Coturnix japonica: one gene and its partners. The protein of the gene in region 3 interacts with the protein of the main gene of each other region in a biochemical or structural test. Links are inferred from orthologs where the notes say so. Each region holds a gene or a part of one and is shown on either strand. Other genes may lie near its edges. The genes, in order: RNF4, PIAS1, SUMO1, USP25 and RNF111.

Region 1 (3,516 bases), on a different chromosome or scaffold from region 3:
TAAATGACTTCAATGTCACAACTACTGACCGCATGTTTTACCAATTCATGGCCAAAACTGGACTAAGAGCTCTACAAAGTCACAACTCCACCATCACAAACTGCATCACTCTATGTTCAGGGTTCTTGGGCAAAGGGAAGCCGTCATGATACCGTAAGTATCACAGTAAGCAGCTTCAGGAACTCTACACCATAAACTCTTGGCTTTACTGTGCATGCAGAACATCTTTCACAGTGATAGTGACAGAGCACTGGGAACAGGTTGCACAAAGAGGTTGTAGAGTCTCCTCTGGAGGTATTAAAGATCTCTCTGGATGCTGATCTATGCTACCGCAGGGAGCCTGTTCCAGCAGGAGGTTGGCTCAGGTGATCTCTAGAAGCCCCTTCCAACCCCTGCAGTTCTGTAATCCTGCCATCATCTCCCGTGTTAAGCAACAGTTTATATAATTCATTAATGACAAAAGCATAAGAAGCTTGAGATATCCTTCATCCCATAATCGTTAATTCAAGCAGCAAGTAATACTGAAGTCCATCTCTAGTTTCACATACATAATTAAATTCCATTAATTTCTCCATTTTTTACTACTCAAATTGAGGCTATAATACCAACTCAATAATTAATTACAACTGATGATAACCTTCACATGAGCAAGACTAACTCAACTCTGTAGTCTGCCACAGAGCCATGTATGGTGTGAAACTATAACCTCACCTTCACGTCAGTGATAGAAGTTACATCACTGAGCTGTCTTAGCCTTGTCTACACAGAGCAGGAAGGCCCATCTCTAACAGAGAAGTATGAGCTTGAGGCACCTAAACGTTCCATTTTTACATTAACCAAAAACAGGCCCAAAGTAACAAGTTTGTAAATTCAACAACAAAGAGCACTGCTCTCATATGCTACAAGGAACTTCACATCGCACATTTAATAACCTGAAAACCAATGTTCCTGTATCCAAGTTCTCTCCCATACTGTCCTCTAGTAAACTAAAGGGCTCACAGCCCACCAACAAGGTAGGATCAGCGTGATGTGCTGCTTCCCAAAACGTGCTCAAAGAGGCTGTTATGGAGTCCACCTTAAAATGCCTCTGAGTGTTAGAAGAAAGAAGTTACTGCCAGCATCCAGACATTTGTGAGTTTGGTTTTTTAAATCACAATGCATGTCTTAACTCATAGGACAGCTGGGCTGCACAGCTGGATCTGAGTTGAAGGTACCCAAAAAAAGGATTAACAACATCTGAGCTTTAAGGTCACATATAAATGCCTGCAGACACTGGGATGCAAAGAAGGTGAGTTAGCACATCCTCATTATTACACTGACTTCTTGTCAATGTGATAGACCACTTAAAATTCAAAACAAAATCACCCACCACTGCTCTTCAGCCTGGAAATTATCAGCATCTTGCTAACTTCTTATCCTTCACTCCCTGGTAACTACAGCAGGCAGATCAGCTGTGCTGTAAATGCCATTCACTTGGCTCAGATCCAGTACCTCATGCCACAGGGTCAGCCAGGGATACTCTATTCAAGATTGTCAGAGATAAGAACAGCCGTCCCTCCTCAGTAACTGCTCTCAGTCAGTTGAGAAGTTCGACTCTATTTTAAGTATGCAGGAGGTGCTTAGGAAATATATATAATGCAAAGAAAAACAGATTTATTTTCTTTAGTTTATCATCCACTGCACTTCAGCTGCAGTTTGGTTTAATCTATTTCCTTGTCAGAGACAGTCAGTGATAATACAGCCTGAACAGTATGGCCTAAGCACACTGCACTACTGTCAACAAAAGCCTACATTACAGCCCTTAGTAGAATCTGCTTTTTTGTTTCCCAAAAGCATATTTTCTAATATACCACATTTCTCTACAATGCAATCATGTCTCAATCTGTGAATTTGAAGTGGAAACTAAGTTATGATTTCAAAGATAAACCAGACCATAATGATCCGAATCAGCCCTGTGTGCACAGAACACAACTCAATGTTTGTTAGGCCATAGACATACATACTTGGAGCTTGCAGTTTCATCCTCCAGTGGTCCCAGCTCTCGAGACACTTTATCTGTGACATACACATCATTATCTCTCGTTTCATCTTCATCATCGCTACTAAGCACACAGCTGTCTGACTGCCGCTGGCCTCTTAGTCTGAGATTTCTCCTCCGCTGTCGATTCTCTGTAATTTATTTATTTAGATATACCATAAAAATACATACAGTGAATTCTACAACACTTTTACTACCTTGAAGAATTAAAAAAAAAAACAACAAACACAACAACAACCATTTGATTGTTTAAAATAAATAAAAGGGGGTAGAGAAGACTCAAGTTTCCGAGGAGCACAGTGAGGTGGCAGGGCAAAAAGGTTTGGTAACAGTGAGCACTTTTGTTCAGACCTGTATAAAGCTTGAGATTAGAAGGGAGCACCATCCCCCACAATTACCTAAACTGCTTAGAGCACCGATATCATTGCCAGCAGCCAGTTGCTGCTTCAGGGGATTACTGACCATATGGACAAACACACACACACCTCAGGTCATTCTTCTGGTAACAAAGTCAAGTCATTTTTCACAAGTGACAGAAGAGCTGCTTAAGTGGCACATTTAAATGACATAGTTGCTTTTGTTTCTCACTCATACAAGAACAGAACAAAATCACTGAGCCCATCAAACCCAGAGGTTATAGAACCGCTGTTGGCTTTTTCACCATCAGAAACTGCACACAAGAATTATTTCTTTGCAGCTCCATCACGAACACCAACCATGGAGCCTTAATAATGATTACATAAATAGCCACAACATTTAGAAGTCCTTGCACAATTATTGAGCTATAATCTCTATTGCATGTGGGGATTTTGTTTTGTTGTTTTTTTCCACTTCCTTCCTTTAGAGCCCCAAATGGATTACATTCTAGGTAAGCAGCTAACAGCTGTAAGAGGCCATGCTTTTTACATTACTGTCTCAAAGTTTGCTGAAATTGACAAATTCAGGCAAGTCCTGGCCAAGGTTCCAGGACTGCCTTTGTCTGAGACACACAGGAACCAAGGTTCCAGAAATCCCTTTGTTTAGGAGATGGACCAGTCGGGAGCTACGAAAGGGAGATAAGATGCTGATCAATGGCCCTTAAGTGGTCTTTTGTGTTGGCCTGTCTCAAGGAAGATGGCCATCTCTGAGGACTGATGGCTCTTAAGTGGTCTTTCTCTCGTGTTGGCTCATCTCAAGGAAGATTGACATCTCTGAGGAAATCACAAGACTCTGACCCGAGCCGTCCCGAAATCTCTCGAAGGCTGGAAAGGGCACGGACAAACCACGGTTTTGTGGGCATCTAGGTATCTGACCTCAGATCCCTCCACCGTTGTCCTACTGCTGCCTATTATCTCTTCTGGGATTGCTGCTCGAGGCTCTGCTCCGAGGGACCTCGCTGCCCGAGACTCCACTTCCTGAGACCTCGCTACTCTGACCATCTTCTCTGCGTTTCATCGATCTGCGGCCTGCTACTCCGCTGCTGCTCTCCCCTACGCTTT
Region 2 (4,292 bases), on a different chromosome or scaffold from region 3:
AATATTGAAGGAAAGATTTAATCACTCAAGTATACTCCTTCCAATTAGAAAGAGCTTTAAATAGCTTACCTTGAGATAAATTACAGTCTGTATGCAATTATACAGGAATAGTAATTAAGATGGGGAAAATTCACGTTATGTCTCAACCTCCAGAGTTAGGGAGGTAATCTGCCAAGCAGACTTCCCAGTTACCTTGTTTCACCAACAGAAATGAAAACATATTGCTTCAATTCATCCAGAACCCGGAGAGTACCAAAGAATTCAGTAACCTTACAAGGCTACGATCTGCAAAGTAAGTTTGATCTTATCTGATTATTTTTCTTTCAATAGGACAAACATTCTCTAATGGGGCACAAGGCTGAAATGCTCTTGATGGCGGTAAGAAAATACATCACAGGAAACGTTATTTCATGACTTAACGTTAAGTGAAAAATTACAGCAAGCAAGATCCGTTGTTTCTCTTAAGGAAGAGAGACCTTTTATTTTACCTGGGGCATCTGGCAGTACCCCATGCCGTATCACATTCCCAGTTTAAATGTGTGTATGTTCCCCACATATAACCCCATGGTTCTTTACACAGGAAGGAAAGAAAGTTTTAGAGAAAGAAAAACTCTGACGAACTTCGCTGTGCACGGGCAAGCCAGATAGTGCGAATTATTACATTTGATTTTAGCTTTAAAGGTCACTAGATCTGAAATCAATGCCACTTCCTAATTAATCAGAGGAGAAACGTGGAAAAATTCCACCTCAGAAAATTATAATAATGAAAAGAACTCTGTGTTCGTTCCCCAAATAGCAGAGTCTTGGTCACAAACTCTCCCTTAGTTTTCTTTCAACTTTACAAAAGCAGCAAACATAAAAGCTTGCTTTCTGGAGATGTGCATCCACATGAAAACATCCCCTGCACCAAACCTGGCAGAGCTTCTTTCTGTTCGCCTCCCTTTTTCATGGACCACTCACCTTATCCAATACCCAACAACAGAGCCAGACCGCTCCTGGAAAGCCCAGGACATGATAGATATGACCCTGAGCAGAACTTTCATGCTTCTGAGTTTCCCTCTCCCTCCCAGAGAGGAGCATCCACCCACCTCTTATTTTTTTGTATGGCCTAGAGAGAAAAAAAGCAGTCAGACCTCTCCATCTCAAAGCCTTCGAAGCATGAATGTATGAAGTTATTGGGTTTTTCTTCCATGAACTGCCAAACCCTCACAGCCCCCCAAACCAGCCAACTTCTCATAGACTGCAGTGTCCCATCCCACGGTCCCAGCCTACAAGTCCCATTAAATATCCCGAGAAGAAAAGTGAAACTGAAAATAAACCAGTGGGATTGACATTTACCCTTCAGGTCCCTGAGGCAGCAACAGTGCTTTAAAGAACAAAATAATCATAATTTCTCAGCACTGGTTCTCAAGGAGCAGCTTTCAGACAGGGATCGATGAAAAAGTCAGGGATGACAAGTGGGCACAAATACATTTCTGCATGAGCTGAGGCTGTAACACAGCAGGCAACAGGACAGGGTGTTCAGTGGGCAGATCTCAAAGCTCTCAGGATCAACACATGGCCAGTTTTCATAGGGAAAACACAGGGACCACCACCCTGCCATCTCAATACACACCATAAAAACCTTAACTCCCTCACTGCTCTCAATTAGATGCTTATGAAGGCATCACCACGTGCACCCAGCCCAGCACCAACAGATCCATAGCCAGGTGCCAGCACGCACTTGCCATGCCGAGATTAACAGAAGTTTTAAGGCTGGAATCAAACCTTAATCCTTCAACTCATCACATGGAAAGATAATTTGGGGGGAAATAAACAACCTTGAGGGCAACACAGCTCAAGCAAGATGGCTCAAAAACAAAGGACAGCGGGGGACCTGGGGAGAACAGGGGCCTGGCAGGCACAGAGCCCAGACTCTGGGGCACACACACAGTGCTGGCACTGTCGGCCCCTAAAAAAGAAAGCACAGGAAACTGCTGTGTGCAGAAAACTGAGGGGCTCCTCGGAAAGACAAGTTTCCCTGGTCACGCTCCGTAATTCTCAAGTTTCTGTCATATTTGATGCACTTCTGATCCGTACGGCTCTCGTGATGTGAAGTGCAAAGCGTGGAAGTGAAGCCCTCCTGCTAAGAGCCCTGTGACAGCCGCAGCCAAACTCTCAAAGTTTCCAGCTCGCAGCCACACTCAGCCCACACCCCCAGCTCGCCAACGCGAAACCATCTCAAAGTTCCGTCGGTTTTTGCTTTAATTTCTCAGCACGGACTCCCTGACACCCCCCTTCCCCCCCCAGCCCATGACGGCCGCATCCCGCTGGGCCTCAGCTCAGCACCACACCGCAACCCGGCGGGGTCCACGAGGAGTTAAGGGAGAAATAACTTCTCTGACAGAGGGGAGGGCCGGGGTGTGTGTGTGTGTGGGGGGGGGGGCTGCCAACGCCTCGTAACGGCCCCCGTGGCCGAGCGGGGGGGGCCCGGCTGCCTGTCAGCCCCGGACGGAGCCGTGTCACCGGGCTCGGCCCCGGCCCCGAGCGGAGCGCTCCGCACCCGCCCCCAACATCTCAGGGCGGCTCGACCGCTGCCCCCCCCCCTTCCCCGTGCTGCTCCCCACGCCTGGGGGGGCACTGCCCGGCGGGGAGAGCTCCGCTCCGCTGCCCGCCCCGCTCCGTCCCTCAGCCCCCAGAGCGAGGCGGCCCCGCGCAGTCACCGCTCCGCAGCTCGCTTCGCCCCGTAGCGCTGAGCGGAGCGCGGCCCCGAGCGGCGTCGCGGAGGGAATTGGAGCTGCGCTTTACCTTTAGTTCCGCACTGTCCGCCATCTTGCAACTCCGGGCGCAGGCGCAGTGAACCCCGCCGGGACACCGCCCCCCCCCGCCGCCCCCTCCCGCCCGCACGCAGCGCGCAGCGTTTGAATCGCGGCGCCATTTTGTCCCTCCCCTGCGCTCCCTCGGGGCCGTGTCTCCTTCCACACGCCGGGCTGGGGGATCCCGCATTTCTTCCTCCGTCCGCATTTAGAGCTGCGGGAGCGTTTCCCAGCCCTGAGCACGAAAAGTTTCCTTCCATCGCTCCGCAAAGGGAACGGGGCGCTGTGGGAGCCCTGCTCGGCGGGGCTGTGAGGGGGGAACGCGGGGCCCTCCCGGGGGGAGCTGTGGACACGCATTCCTGCAGCAATAAATTGGTTAAAAACTGGAATTTGTGACTCTGCTGCTTATTCTTTCTAATTACCCATCGCTGTCACACTTTTTTTTTTCCACTTGGCCTTTAACTCCTGCACGAAGGGTGGAAAAATGGTCTTGGGCAGAAGGTCAATACTGTACATCCTTTTAAGTGAGACCAAATTTGCCCGTTTTCCGCAGCTTCCATAAAATTAATCATCATCCATTCAGAAAGCACTTACATTATCTGTGTTGCGAGATATAAAAGCATTAATGCCTCCACTCTGCAGATGGAGGAAAGCATGCTTGAGGCCACGCAGGGAATCGATGGTAAAGAGATTACTACTGGTGATTATTTCTGAATTATAATTTATGTCTCCCATCTGACCTGGATAGTTAGCCACAACTTAAAATTAGGCACTTTCCATTGAGGGGAAAATGTGACAGCGGTATCAAATATCTCCTACTAAGTAGCATTTTGATACCATCCTGTTAGTGGTGAGAATATACATGAAGCCGTGTTTTCTGAACAGCAGAAAGCAACCCCGGTCCTTCACAAACATTTTGTTTCCATATATTCCAGCCAGAAGCATTTCCCAGCTCGGTCTCAAGGCCAGCATGGCAGATAACATGAGGAGCATCCCTTGACTCCCCTGTGGCACCCTGCTCCATCCTCCAGCTCATGGGCACATCCCATTTCTCCTGCAGGTGCACCAAACGTCCACTGCTCTCATTGATTTCTCTTACCATTTGGCACTGGCATAACGAATGAACCACTCAGAAAATGAGCAATTAAAGAAGGCTGATAAGTAGCAGATACTCTGGCTTAGTACTGCATGCAATGAAGAGTCTGAAGGCTGGTTTGGGGAGGGGGCAGGGTGCTAGGCAAGATGTCTAAAAAAGCAAAAGTCAGATGACTACCCCGTACACCCACACGTACCATAATTAGCCGATCTATTTCAGCCGCCTGTACCAGCCCATGTTAGAATATTTCATTTTGACTGATTGAATGTGTTTAATAAACATAATCTTCACGTGATCTATTGGTTTGTGCCTCACATAAAGAATTTGACAAAAAGATGGATGATCACATGAAGGCGAATCCTCATTTGCTTTTTTTCCCCCTTTGAAAGAAGCTTGCTGCT
Region 3 (3,516 bases):
GACAGCAGTGAAATTCACTTCAAGGTGAAAATGACAACACACCTCAAGAAACTCAAAGAATCATACTGTCAAAGACAGGTTTGTGAAACCATGACACTGAATGTACAGTGGCTGTTCAGAAGGTGTAGAAGTAATCTTTTAAAATGTCCAGGTTTACATTTGAAATTACTGTAAAATCTTCTGGATCCTTTTGAAATTTCCTTGAAATAGAATACTGCAGCTTGGGATGAGGGCAGCCTTATATGTTGTTACTGTCATAAGTATGATAATACATTTGCATGAGCTATTATACCCTAACCTAAAGAAATATGCAGTATCAGTGCTTGATACAGGTAAATAGTGACCGCTCTTCCAGGACAGGAAATATGTGTTCACTTACAGGTTCTATGGCAGATACTGTGGATTCAGTGATGCTATTCTTAGCGGCCCTGGTCTACTTCACTCCTAGCTTTGGGGACAGATGCCTTATGTGGCCTTTTCTTGAGCAATTGCACTGAAGTTCAATTCAGTAAATAAAACTATTAAAAAAAAAAACCAAAAAAACCCCAACTTTTTATTTTAGTGCTAAGTTTGATTTGCATCAAAGTATGGTAAGTTCTGTAGAAATACCTCTTTCATACTATGACACATTAGATTTTCTGTGCCTTTGTACAGTAATGTTGCTATATGGCCTGCTATCCTACTAGAGAAGGAGATAAAAGGTTAAATGACAGATATCCTTGCAACCCAAACTAAAAAGTGACTAAAATTGGGATTCATCAGAAAACTAAAAGGCAGATGCTGGCATTCATTCATGCAGTTAGTCGTATTCACTGTTAGAAATGTGTATGTGCAGATTTTTTTTCCAAGAAATATATGTTTTGGTAGGCAGAACTACATCTTTCTCCTGGCTGATTTCTAGAGAGTCCCAGTTCCTTCATTTGTTATCAACACTGCTTTTGGTGTCAAGTAAGCAACATTTCTGAGATGTAAATGATGCACTAAACGGGTCATATTTCACTTGCACTTTGCTGATAATGGATATGAAAGAAGAGGAAAAGGTTAGGTGTTTGTCTTAGCTGCAAAGGTGAAGTGTGGTATTAAGCTTTAACGTAGGAATGCTGTACACTAGATGTACTGTGATCTTATTTTATTAGCTCTTGGGTGCTCTTTTCTCTGCTCCCTCTCCTTCACAGCGTAGGGCTTTTGCAGAGCTTGTATCTGTAGAGGATACCATTCTTTATTGCAGTGTTATAAGATTGTGGAAGCAAGTGTAGGAGTTTGTGAAGTACACATATTCTGTATGTTATGGTAGTCTTTAAAAAGGCTGATAAATGGTTTAGAAGAAGGCTGCACCCTCCTGTAATGCCTTGGGAGTGCATAGTTGGTACTTTAGAGGAGTTGGGGAGGGGAGATGCTAAGAAAATTTCCCAGTTCTTGATCCCGAAGAACTTTACTGTAACTTTGGAAGAATGATGCAGTTCAGCACTATTGCTCTCCTTGAGACACTTGGTAGTTTACATGGGAGCAGCAGGATAGCTGAGCTCTCTGTGTAACAAGAACCTACGCTTTCCTTTTTAACTTATATGTGCACTGTTTTTATTAAAAATGTGTTTCTTGTAAATGTTTGCATCTTGGTTGAGGTTTTTTTGTGCTTTTTTTTTTTTTTTTTTTTTTTTAAGGGTGTTCCAATGAACTCACTCAGGTTTCTCTTCGAGGGTCAGAGGATTACTGATAATCATACCCCCAAGGAGGTAAGTTTCTTTTCAGAGAGTGTTGCATACAGCATTCAGTAGAGAAAATAATTACAAAATGTGTTAGTTTATCTGTTCTGCTATATTAACCTGATTTGATTCTTTAAATGTAGCCCATCTGTCAATACATCTCTGACTAATTGTAGTCTGATTATACTTGTATGACTGAAGTATTCAATAAGGTTGCTACATAGGTCAGAAAAAAGACTAATTGGACCTTCGCATATAGTGGAAAAAAGTCTGAGGGAACTGATCAGTTGTTGTTCTAGATCTTCAGCTTGAATTTGAAGTAAACATGTATTTTGTTCACATTTATTAGATGAAAGTGTAAATAAACAGCAAACAGATTACTTTTGCTATCTGGTGACTTCCACCAATTGTTACGAAGAAAGGAACAGGAAGAAATACTGAAATACTGAGTTATAATGATGACCTTCTGAAAAAAAATCAAACTTCTTGAATTCCACAATGAACAAGTTACTTTGTTTGAGACAACAGCTGTGAACAGGCTTTGAGTTGCAAGCTGTAGGTCTTAGCTGTATCATGCTTAGCAGCATGCAGTATATCATCCATGCGGCTATACAGCGGGTGCATTCACAGTGTTGGTAGTTACATTCCTGTGCATCCATTGCCCAAGAAGTTTAGAGGAAAGTAAAGCTAGTATTTTTCAAGCTGATGTGTGCTGCTTCACAAGTGAATTTGGACTTCACAGATAAGATTATTGCTTTGACTGAGAAGATGTGCTGAAATGTATATGATGGAAGAAAAAATACTTAAGAGCATGAGTGTTGGCTAGTGAGGTATTAAGTGAAAAATTTTTCACCTCTTTGTCCTTTGAAAAATGATGAGGCAGAAGAACAAAGCATCAGATAGCTTTTCTAGGACCTGCTCTGAATTCGGTGCACCAGATTTGTAACAATTGTGCTGTTTTTTTTTTTCTCTGTTCTAACAGCTGGGGATGGAGGAGGAAGATGTGATTGAAGTTTATCAGGAACAGACGGGGGGTCACTCAACAGTTTAGATCCTTCTGTTTGTTTTATTTCCCCTTAATCCTTTTTTATTTTTAAATAATAGTTCTTTTGTAATGTGGTGTTCAACACTGAATTGAAACTGGCACCCCATCTCTGGGAGTTTATTTTCGAGCGTCTGGTATTTTAAATTCTCGTGCTCATTATACACTATTGTTTCTGTTTTCATTGTGCTGAACTTCTGTGATCCAGCTGCAGCCCTGCTCTCCTTTTCCCTTCCGCCCTCCCCTTTAGAAATACATATACACACATGCATTTGTATGTTCACTAAGTTCGTGCATTTCAGGCACGAAGGTTGTAAGATCTGCCAGGTGGGCGAGTGTTCTTAATGACTTCCATATCTGCCCTGAAGTTTTGATGTGTGACTGTTTCACTCCTGGACTATAACTTTCAGTGCGAGATGAAGTTTTTCAGAACTAAACTGTGGAGAAATCATGTATCCGTAACTCAGAGCTATTTTACTTAAATTGTGCTGATGGCCCGACGAAGAAGACCAGAGTTGGAAACGAAAAAATCTAGAACCGTTGTCATCTGTACCTTGCTCCAGAGATGGCTTTGCTGAAGACATAGAATTGAAAACCCTAATGATTCTTAAATCTTGCCAGAAGAGCCCAGAAGCATTTTAACTTCATATAGCAATTAGTACACGCAGGTATTCATGCAAGAATGTTCACAGCAGGCAACTGGTGTTACTTTGACACTCTTGTTTGTACCTTTTGGCCTGGGACATGGGTTTTGAATGGACATTGTCTGTA
Region 4 (3,516 bases), on a different chromosome or scaffold from region 3:
TGAGTAGTACTGTGATACTAATAGCTCAGTTTAATATAACAGATGGGTAGACTGACAATTATGAAGCACTTCAATACTGAAAAAAAGAAGAGGAAAATACTCATGCGGGGGAAAAAAAAAAAAAAAAAAAGAAAAGAAAAAAAACCTTTAAAGTCAAGCCCACATTCTATTTACTATATATTTCAACCCAGTGTTTTCTCAAGAGTGAATAATTTTCAAGACTGAACTTAGCCTCTTCTTGAATGTAAGCTGCCCACACATATCCCACTACAGTTCTAGGTGATCTGAAATCAATTAATCCTTCCTCCTTCCTTCTTTCCTCAGTTATTTTGTTAGCAGAAATCAGAATACTCTCCACTAGAAAGCTTGCAATGAGAAGTTCAGTGTCGCTCCAATAAAGCCAACAAGCAAACATTCACATATTTTACTGTTCTAACACAAAATGTTCTCTATAATGAGTAAGAATGAAAATAGTATCAGGTAACAAGATTAATTAAGGACACGTTAAATTTCTTTCTCCACAAAATAAGTAACACTCTTTGTTTAAACTAGACAGAGTTTCAGTTCTACAAAACAAACCCTGTAGAACTTTTCTTTCACTTCCAACAGAAATGTGATTAGGACACACATAAGATTGCTGAGATTCTTGTAGCATCAATAGCAACACATTTCAAGTAAGGGATTAGTTATGTTTTTACTTCTGGTCATTCACATAGCTAAAATACTAGTTTGGGGTTTTTTCTGTTTGTTTGTTTTTAAAACAACAACATTAATTAACCTTTAAGATTTGCCAAGTCCACTTTTTCAAAATCTTTATTTTCTCTATTCAAATCAACTCCTAAAATTTTTGCTTAGAGATATTAATATATTTCAAATGAAAATAGGTTTTTTTGTTGTTTTTTTTTTCTTTCAAGCTTTTTCCAAAGAATAGAAGGGAAGCATCATTGTTGTTTTGCTTCATAAGCCAGTCCTTGTCATCAGAATACACGTGGCATAGCCACACACACACAGAAGTGTTCAGGTGCAGTATCATAAAGATCAAAAAAGTATATACAAAATAAACCCAACCAACAGCGTATAATACTGCGACAGTTTTTCAGAATATTCACATACAGTAATCTCTGACTACCTTCATCTAACTGTCCATAAATCCTGAAGAATCTTATCTATAAAATGGAGTTACCCATCAATATACTGTATCTCTCCTAAAAATGCCTATATTTTACACTAATATACAAGTTATCTGCTTGCAAACACAGAAGTAGCCATAAATAAAACTTTATTCTTTCATTTCATTTACAAGCTACCAAGTACCATGTATTTACACAGCACTGGACACTTAAAGTAGTTGCAGTCACAAAATGATCCAGACAGCTGTTGATAAAGTAAAGGATCTTAAGATAAAAGCAAAGTAATACTGTAACAGAGAAGTGGCAAAAAAGCAGTTTTGCCATAATTATCAGACTTGCAAGTTGCATCAATTCTGGTTGAAACGACTGAGTGCCATGCGATTCTCAGCTTTAACTGTTTGCAGTCTGGCTAAACTTTGTACAGTCATTTCTCTTCTGCAGTTATTAAAAAAAAAAAAAAAAAAAGTTAAAAACTATAGCAGCAACAAGCAAACCCTGTGACAGGAAGGCAAGGTTTAAGAACTAAAAAAGTTTATACAGTGTGCTCAGGAAGGTTGCAGAATTTATCTTCCATCAGCTGGAGTTCGACTGAGTGACAACATGATTCGGGCGTATCTTTCACACAGTTCATGTGTGGAGTACGAGGGTAACTTTGGCGGGTCATTGAAACCTTTAATCTCTGTAGAACAATCTAGTAGTTTTGGCAGGAAATCTGTCAGCTTTTCTTGCAAGTTAGCTGCAAATGAAAGAAAAGAAAATAACCATAAGCTTTTATGTCCACAGGTGCAATTTTCCTCTTCCTGCTCCAAACTGATTCTTTTTTTTTTTTTTTTTTTTTTTTTTTTTTTTTTTTTTTTTTTTTTTAACAGGGATGGGAGTATTAAGAGTTTCACTTGGAATAATGCACTTTCTTCAGTGAATAAAAGTTTCGTTTAAGGACTTTGTTATATATAGAAAATATTGCAGAACTTCATTATTATGTATGCATGGGAAAAACTGCTGTTCATTTAAATGTGTACAGTATTACTCTAAAGTCATGGTAATTCAAAATATGTTACCAAAACACAAAAGATTCAGGCTCTGTTCAAGACACAAACCAAAACATTTTAAAAAGTAATGAATAAAAATCAGGAGTGTGTGAGCGTCTTATACTTTAATAAATACTTACGTTCCATTTCTTGTCCAAGATAGGAACACCAACGATTTCTCATATCTTCCACAGCGACAATATCTTTTTCTTCCATTTCATCCACCAGAAGTAATGGCAAACACGGGACAATAAGCTCATTCATAATGATCAGGCCATTGTTTACTTCCTGATCATCTCCTGATTCAAACAGTGCTGCAGCATGTTCATTTAGTTTCTTCACGTACCACCACAAAAAAGAAATTCTTTAAGTATACAGCATTTCACAATTGACCATTCTGTTTTTGTTTGCCTTATGGCAAATCTGCAATAACAACTGAGCTTTAACGTTCACAGCAATGGTACATAAACTCTATTAAACCATTTGATCTTGTACTACTCTCCTAAGGCCACTTCAGTTGATACCTGCCAAGTCAACTTTTTTAGCTACTCCTTTTCAAAACTGAGGTCCTACCATCTGCTCTTGCCTATTCTTATGATTGCAAAGAAAAAGGTGACATAATCAAGGAAAAAAAATCATATCTGCTGATACCTTTTTCTAAACATTTGCATCCCTGTCCAACTGCAATAACATTGCAAGTTCACCCACCAATACTGCCCACTGTTGCTTCTACCTAAGCCCAGACACAATGGCAGTGAGCACACTACTTATAATGATAAAGAAACTGATTACTTAAAACAAACACATGCTTTATTCTCACTACACACATTTCTTCCTCTCACCTTTTTCTTATTGAAATCTTTGTAATTTTTAATGAAAATGCTTTGGTTTTAGTTTTTTTGAAAGTATGGCAGCATTGCCTAATTTGTTAAAGCTATGTGGAAAATTCAACTTTTGTAGTATATTGCATCCTTCACTTACTAGCAAACATTCTCGTCTGTAGTGAGATATCAGCTCTTCATCATGCCCTCTGTATGGGCCTTTGGACAAGAGTTCTTTGTTATTCTGGTAAGCATAGATAAGGTAGAGCAAGGCTTCCATATAGCTAAAGCAAAGTAAAGAAACAAAGTTGTTAGATGCAAATCCAGATGACACCTATTTCAAGTTAACTACTATGTTCTTCATAGGATATGCAACTTCACTTACTTGCTTGACTGCAAATCCAACCCTCCTCATCCATCTCTTCATAATGTTGCATTTTCTACCACATATTTTCTTCTTTTGTATACATTAGAACAATGTATTTTATTATCAGACTAGATAACTTGCACATGAAGTGTGATCCAAAGCTCACTGAC
Region 5 (3,516 bases), on a different chromosome or scaffold from region 3:
CAAGTCATTGATGAATATATTGAATAGTACTGGTCCCAGTACCAACCCTAGAGGGACTCCACTAGATACAGGCCTCCAACTAGACTCTGTCCCATTGACCACAACTCTGGCTTCTTTCCTTCAGCCAGTTCACAATCCACCTCTCTATCTGATTGTCCAGACCACACTTCCTCAGTTTATCTGCAAGGATGCTGTGGGAGACAGTGTCAAATGCTTTACTAAAATCAAGATAGACCACATCCACTGCTTTACCATCATCTATCCACCTGGTTATGTCTTCATAAAAGGCTATCAGGTTGGTTAAGCATGACTTCCCCTTGGTGAAGCCATGTTGACTGCCCCTAATGACTCCTCTTATCCTTGATATGCCTAGAGACAGTGCCAAGGATAAGTTGTTCCATCACCTTTCCAGGGATGGAGGTGAGGCTGACTGGTCTATAGTTACCTGGGTCCTCCTTCTTGCCCTTTCTGAAGACTGGAGTGACATTTGCTTTCTTCTTGTCCTTACAACTTAACAAAGACAACAGAGAGTGGCCTAGCAATGAATTCCACCTCAGCACTCGCAGGTGCATCCCATCAGGACTCATGGATTTATGGATGTTTGGATTGCTTAATTGATCCTTAACCTCAGTCCTCATTAACTGAGGCAAATTCTTCCTTGATCCTGACTTCCTATGTGGCCTCAGGGGTACGGGGCTCCAGTAGTACAGACAGAGACAAAGAAGGCATTTAGTAACTTGCCTTCTCTGTATTTTCTGTCACCAGGGCACCCACTTCATTCATCAGTGGGTCTATATTGCCTCTAGTGTTAGTTTTATCTGCAAGGTATTTAAAAGAACCTCTTTCTGTTATCCTTGACCCCTCTTGCAAGGTTTAATTCGAAGGAGGCTTTACCTTTCCTAGTTGACTCCTTACATCCTCTGACAGCAGTATACTAGTCTTCCCAAGAGACCAGCCCCTCCTTCCATGATCTGTAGACTCTCCTCTTCCACTTGAGTTTTCCAAGCAGTTCCCTGTTAACTATGCAGGTCTCCTGGCTCCCTTTCTTGACAAAGATAGATAAGGGATTCAGGAGCATTCTGCATCTCATTGAGATGGCTCAGTTATATCTGAACAACAGTCCTGTTTCTGAGGAGACAGAATATAATTCACTGGGAATGGAATCTTCCATTACAGTGTGTTGTGGAGCTTTTTAAAATGTGCATTGCGAGGAAGCAAAGGATGCATTTAGAATCCTTGAACCCATAGATGAAAGCATGTCTGTATAAATCTGTATAGAAAATGACATATAAAAGAGTTGATTGTACGGGTGGCACTAAAAACATTACTGAGACATGACTACTCTTCCCTCCAAGTCAGATGATGTACAAAAAAATCTTAGCTGATCATATTTATACAGGAATTTGATAATACTGGATCAAAATAGATCCGTTCACACTAGCCACAGACATGATCTTTCCTCCTTTCCCCACCAGTAATGCATCTTAAATTATTGGAATAATAAGATAAGTGCCATTTTACTTCCTCTAGTCATTCCCATGAATATGTCCACCTGAAATATTCATTTTTGGTTCATTTGGCAAGCATAGTACAATCTTCTTTTTTTTCCTCTTTATTCCAGTTTGTTTTGTTTTAATCTAGATCTATTTTCCAATTAGTTAATTATTTAATACCAAAGATTTTTCAGACATTGTTTTTTGCTGATGAGCTTTACTAACTTCTTCAATCTTGGCTTTAATTTCAAGATGATACAAGAAGAACTGCATCTAATACAACACTGGAAACCAGCCCTCCAGCCATGCCAAGGTTACCGTCGTGCTGCCCTCAGCATTCTCCATGTGGAGGATCTTCACAGAATCATCATGCGTTGGGGCATCCACATACAAGCTGCTTTCAGCAGCACGGCCACCACTTTCAACACCACCACCATCACCACCACAACCCTCACCCAGCAGTTCCCTTGTCTCCTTCATTCAGTGACTCCAGCTGCCCTGTTGAACGGCCTCCTCCAGTGCCTGCACCTTGTGGAGCGAGCAGCAGTTCTGGCACCAGTTACCATGACCAGGCATGTTTCATTTTTATGACTCTTTCTCTGTAAATCCAAGTTATTATTTAATTATTTAAATATAATTTAAAAGGATGCTGAATTGTGGGTTATTTTCATGTTCTATAGTAGATATTTTAGGAGGGAACTAAAAGGAAAAATTGAGTTATACTGTATGGGCACAAAAGGAAATGTAACAACAAGCCATAACCCAATAAGTGATCATTGACAACTGATGTTCTCCTGATGACTGTAAGATGATATTATTTTATTTTACTATTTAAGCAGAGCAACCATAAATACTTTGCATTATACTGTACAGATTGTAGTAGTTCTGTAAGAAGCTGTGCTACTTTAGAACTGAATGTTTCTTCCCTTAATATTCTGTTCATGAAAGGAAAAAATTCTCTTCCAAAATCATTTTATTTTTAAGATTTTAACTAAAATCACAGCTCTAAAACAGAATGGTTGCAAATCCTAAGAACAATACTGTGGAAATATAATTTACAACATGTGGAACTATCAGTCTGTTCTATCTTGCTGCATTAGGCACAACTAAAAATGCTAAAGCTTGTTGTTTGCCTGGAAATATTTTAATGCACAGTAGCTCTCACATATGTGTCAATTCATCTATCATAGTATTTTTTGGTTCAGTCTGGTTTTCAAGTTCAATAATTTAGAAATAAGAAATGCTAACCATATCTAAAGAATGTTCCGGAATCAAGTCTTCAGACTTAAAAAGCTGGATTCCAATTGCTTGAGATCATATTTACTCCTATTTTTAGCAAGTTATATTTGAGGATAATTTTGTTTTCAGTGGCTGAAGAATTGCTTGAAAAAAAAAAAGATAATTTGTTTATGCAGCAGGCATTGCCAGTAGACTTAAGCAGCAGTGGTATAAGAAGTCATGGAAGTGGTGCTTTTCATGGAACATCTGCTTTTGACCCCTGCTGTCCTGGCTCTTCATCTCGAACTGCAATTTATGGGCATCAGACTGGTGCTGGCCCAAGCCAATCACTAACAATAGATGGATATGGATCAAGTATGGTTGCACAGCCACAGCCCCAACCTCCTCCTCAGGCATCGCTTTCTTCCTGTCGCCATTATATGCATTCTCCTTGTAAGTACTGGCTTTATGGGGGGAAGAGGAAAAATAACCTTCCCTGACAGCATAATAAAAGTTTTATTACCTTCTTGCTTTGATCTTAAAACTGAGTTAATCTTATGTTGAGGAATTAAACAGAATCTATGGAAAGTTTAAATATTTTCTTGTGGAAGTAAGTTTTTGAGTGGCAGGTCTTGTTAATGTTCAGACTTCAAAAAATGTATTTCCTATGAAAATAATAATTTGTATTTTAGTAATGTTTTTTTGTTTACTTCTCCGGTTGTCAGAGTTGTGCTTGAGCAGACTCAATCAACTCTTATCTGATATCTTTTGTTTTATTGTGTTTACAGAATATTGGGTTGAGGGG

What was found.
Region 1: the proteins of SUMO1 (region 3) and RNF4 form a complex in vitro, tested with the Homo sapiens proteins (5 studies listed by BioGRID, with this or other methods). The link is inferred for Coturnix japonica from reciprocal best matches to the Homo sapiens genes SUMO1 and RNF4.
Region 2: the proteins of SUMO1 (region 3) and PIAS1 form a complex in vitro, tested with the Homo sapiens proteins (6 studies listed by BioGRID and IntAct, with this or other methods). The link is inferred for Coturnix japonica from reciprocal best matches to the Homo sapiens genes SUMO1 and PIAS1.
Region 4: the proteins of SUMO1 (region 3) and USP25 form a complex in vitro, tested with the Homo sapiens proteins (2 studies listed by BioGRID). The link is inferred for Coturnix japonica from reciprocal best matches to the Homo sapiens genes SUMO1 and USP25.
Region 5: the proteins of SUMO1 (region 3) and RNF111 form a complex in vitro, tested with the Homo sapiens proteins (3 studies listed by BioGRID). The link is inferred for Coturnix japonica from reciprocal best matches to the Homo sapiens genes SUMO1 and RNF111.

What each region holds. Positions count from the first base shown.
Region 1 is NC_029519.1:74,941,210-74,944,725, forward strand, and holds part of RNF4 (E3 ubiquitin-protein ligase RNF4), read right to left. Parts: intron 2,170-3,516; coding exon 2,004-2,169; intron 1-2,003. UniProt on the Homo sapiens protein: E3 ubiquitin-protein ligase which binds polysumoylated chains covalently attached to proteins and mediates 'Lys-6'-, 'Lys-11'-, 'Lys-48'- and 'Lys-63'-linked polyubiquitination of those substrates and their subsequent targeting to the proteasome for degradation.
Region 2 is NC_029525.1:17,309,341-17,313,632, reverse strand, and holds the start of PIAS1 (E3 SUMO-protein ligase PIAS1), read right to left. Parts: upstream 2,812-4,292; coding exon 2,788-2,811; intron 1-2,787. UniProt on the Homo sapiens protein: Functions as an E3-type small ubiquitin-like modifier (SUMO) ligase, stabilizing the interaction between UBE2I and the substrate, and as a SUMO-tethering factor. Catalyzes sumoylation of various proteins, such as CEBPB, MRE11, MTA1, PTK2 and PML.
Region 3 is NC_029522.1:10,239,628-10,243,143, reverse strand, and holds part of SUMO1 (small ubiquitin-related modifier 1), read left to right. Parts: coding exon 1-78; intron 79-1,661; coding exon 1,662-1,733; intron 1,734-2,685; coding exon 2,686-2,754; 3' UTR 2,755-3,516. UniProt on the Homo sapiens protein: Ubiquitin-like protein that can be covalently attached to proteins as a monomer or a lysine-linked polymer.
Region 4 is NC_029516.1:88,770,132-88,773,647, reverse strand, and holds the end of USP25 (ubiquitin carboxyl-terminal hydrolase 25), read right to left. Parts: intron 3,264-3,516; coding exon 3,140-3,263; intron 2,495-3,139; coding exon 2,299-2,494; intron 1,867-2,298; coding exon 1,694-1,866; 3' UTR 411-1,693; downstream 1-410. UniProt on the Homo sapiens protein: Deubiquitinating enzyme that hydrolyzes ubiquitin moieties conjugated to substrates and thus, functions in various biological processes including inflammation and immune response.
Region 5 is NC_029525.1:5,844,346-5,847,861, reverse strand, and holds part of RNF111 (E3 ubiquitin-protein ligase Arkadia), read left to right. Parts: intron 1-1,745; coding exon 1,746-2,065; intron 2,066-2,908; coding exon 2,909-3,164; intron 3,165-3,516. UniProt on the Homo sapiens protein: E3 ubiquitin-protein ligase. Required for mesoderm patterning during embryonic development. Acts as an enhancer of the transcriptional responses of the SMAD2/SMAD3 effectors, which are activated downstream of BMP.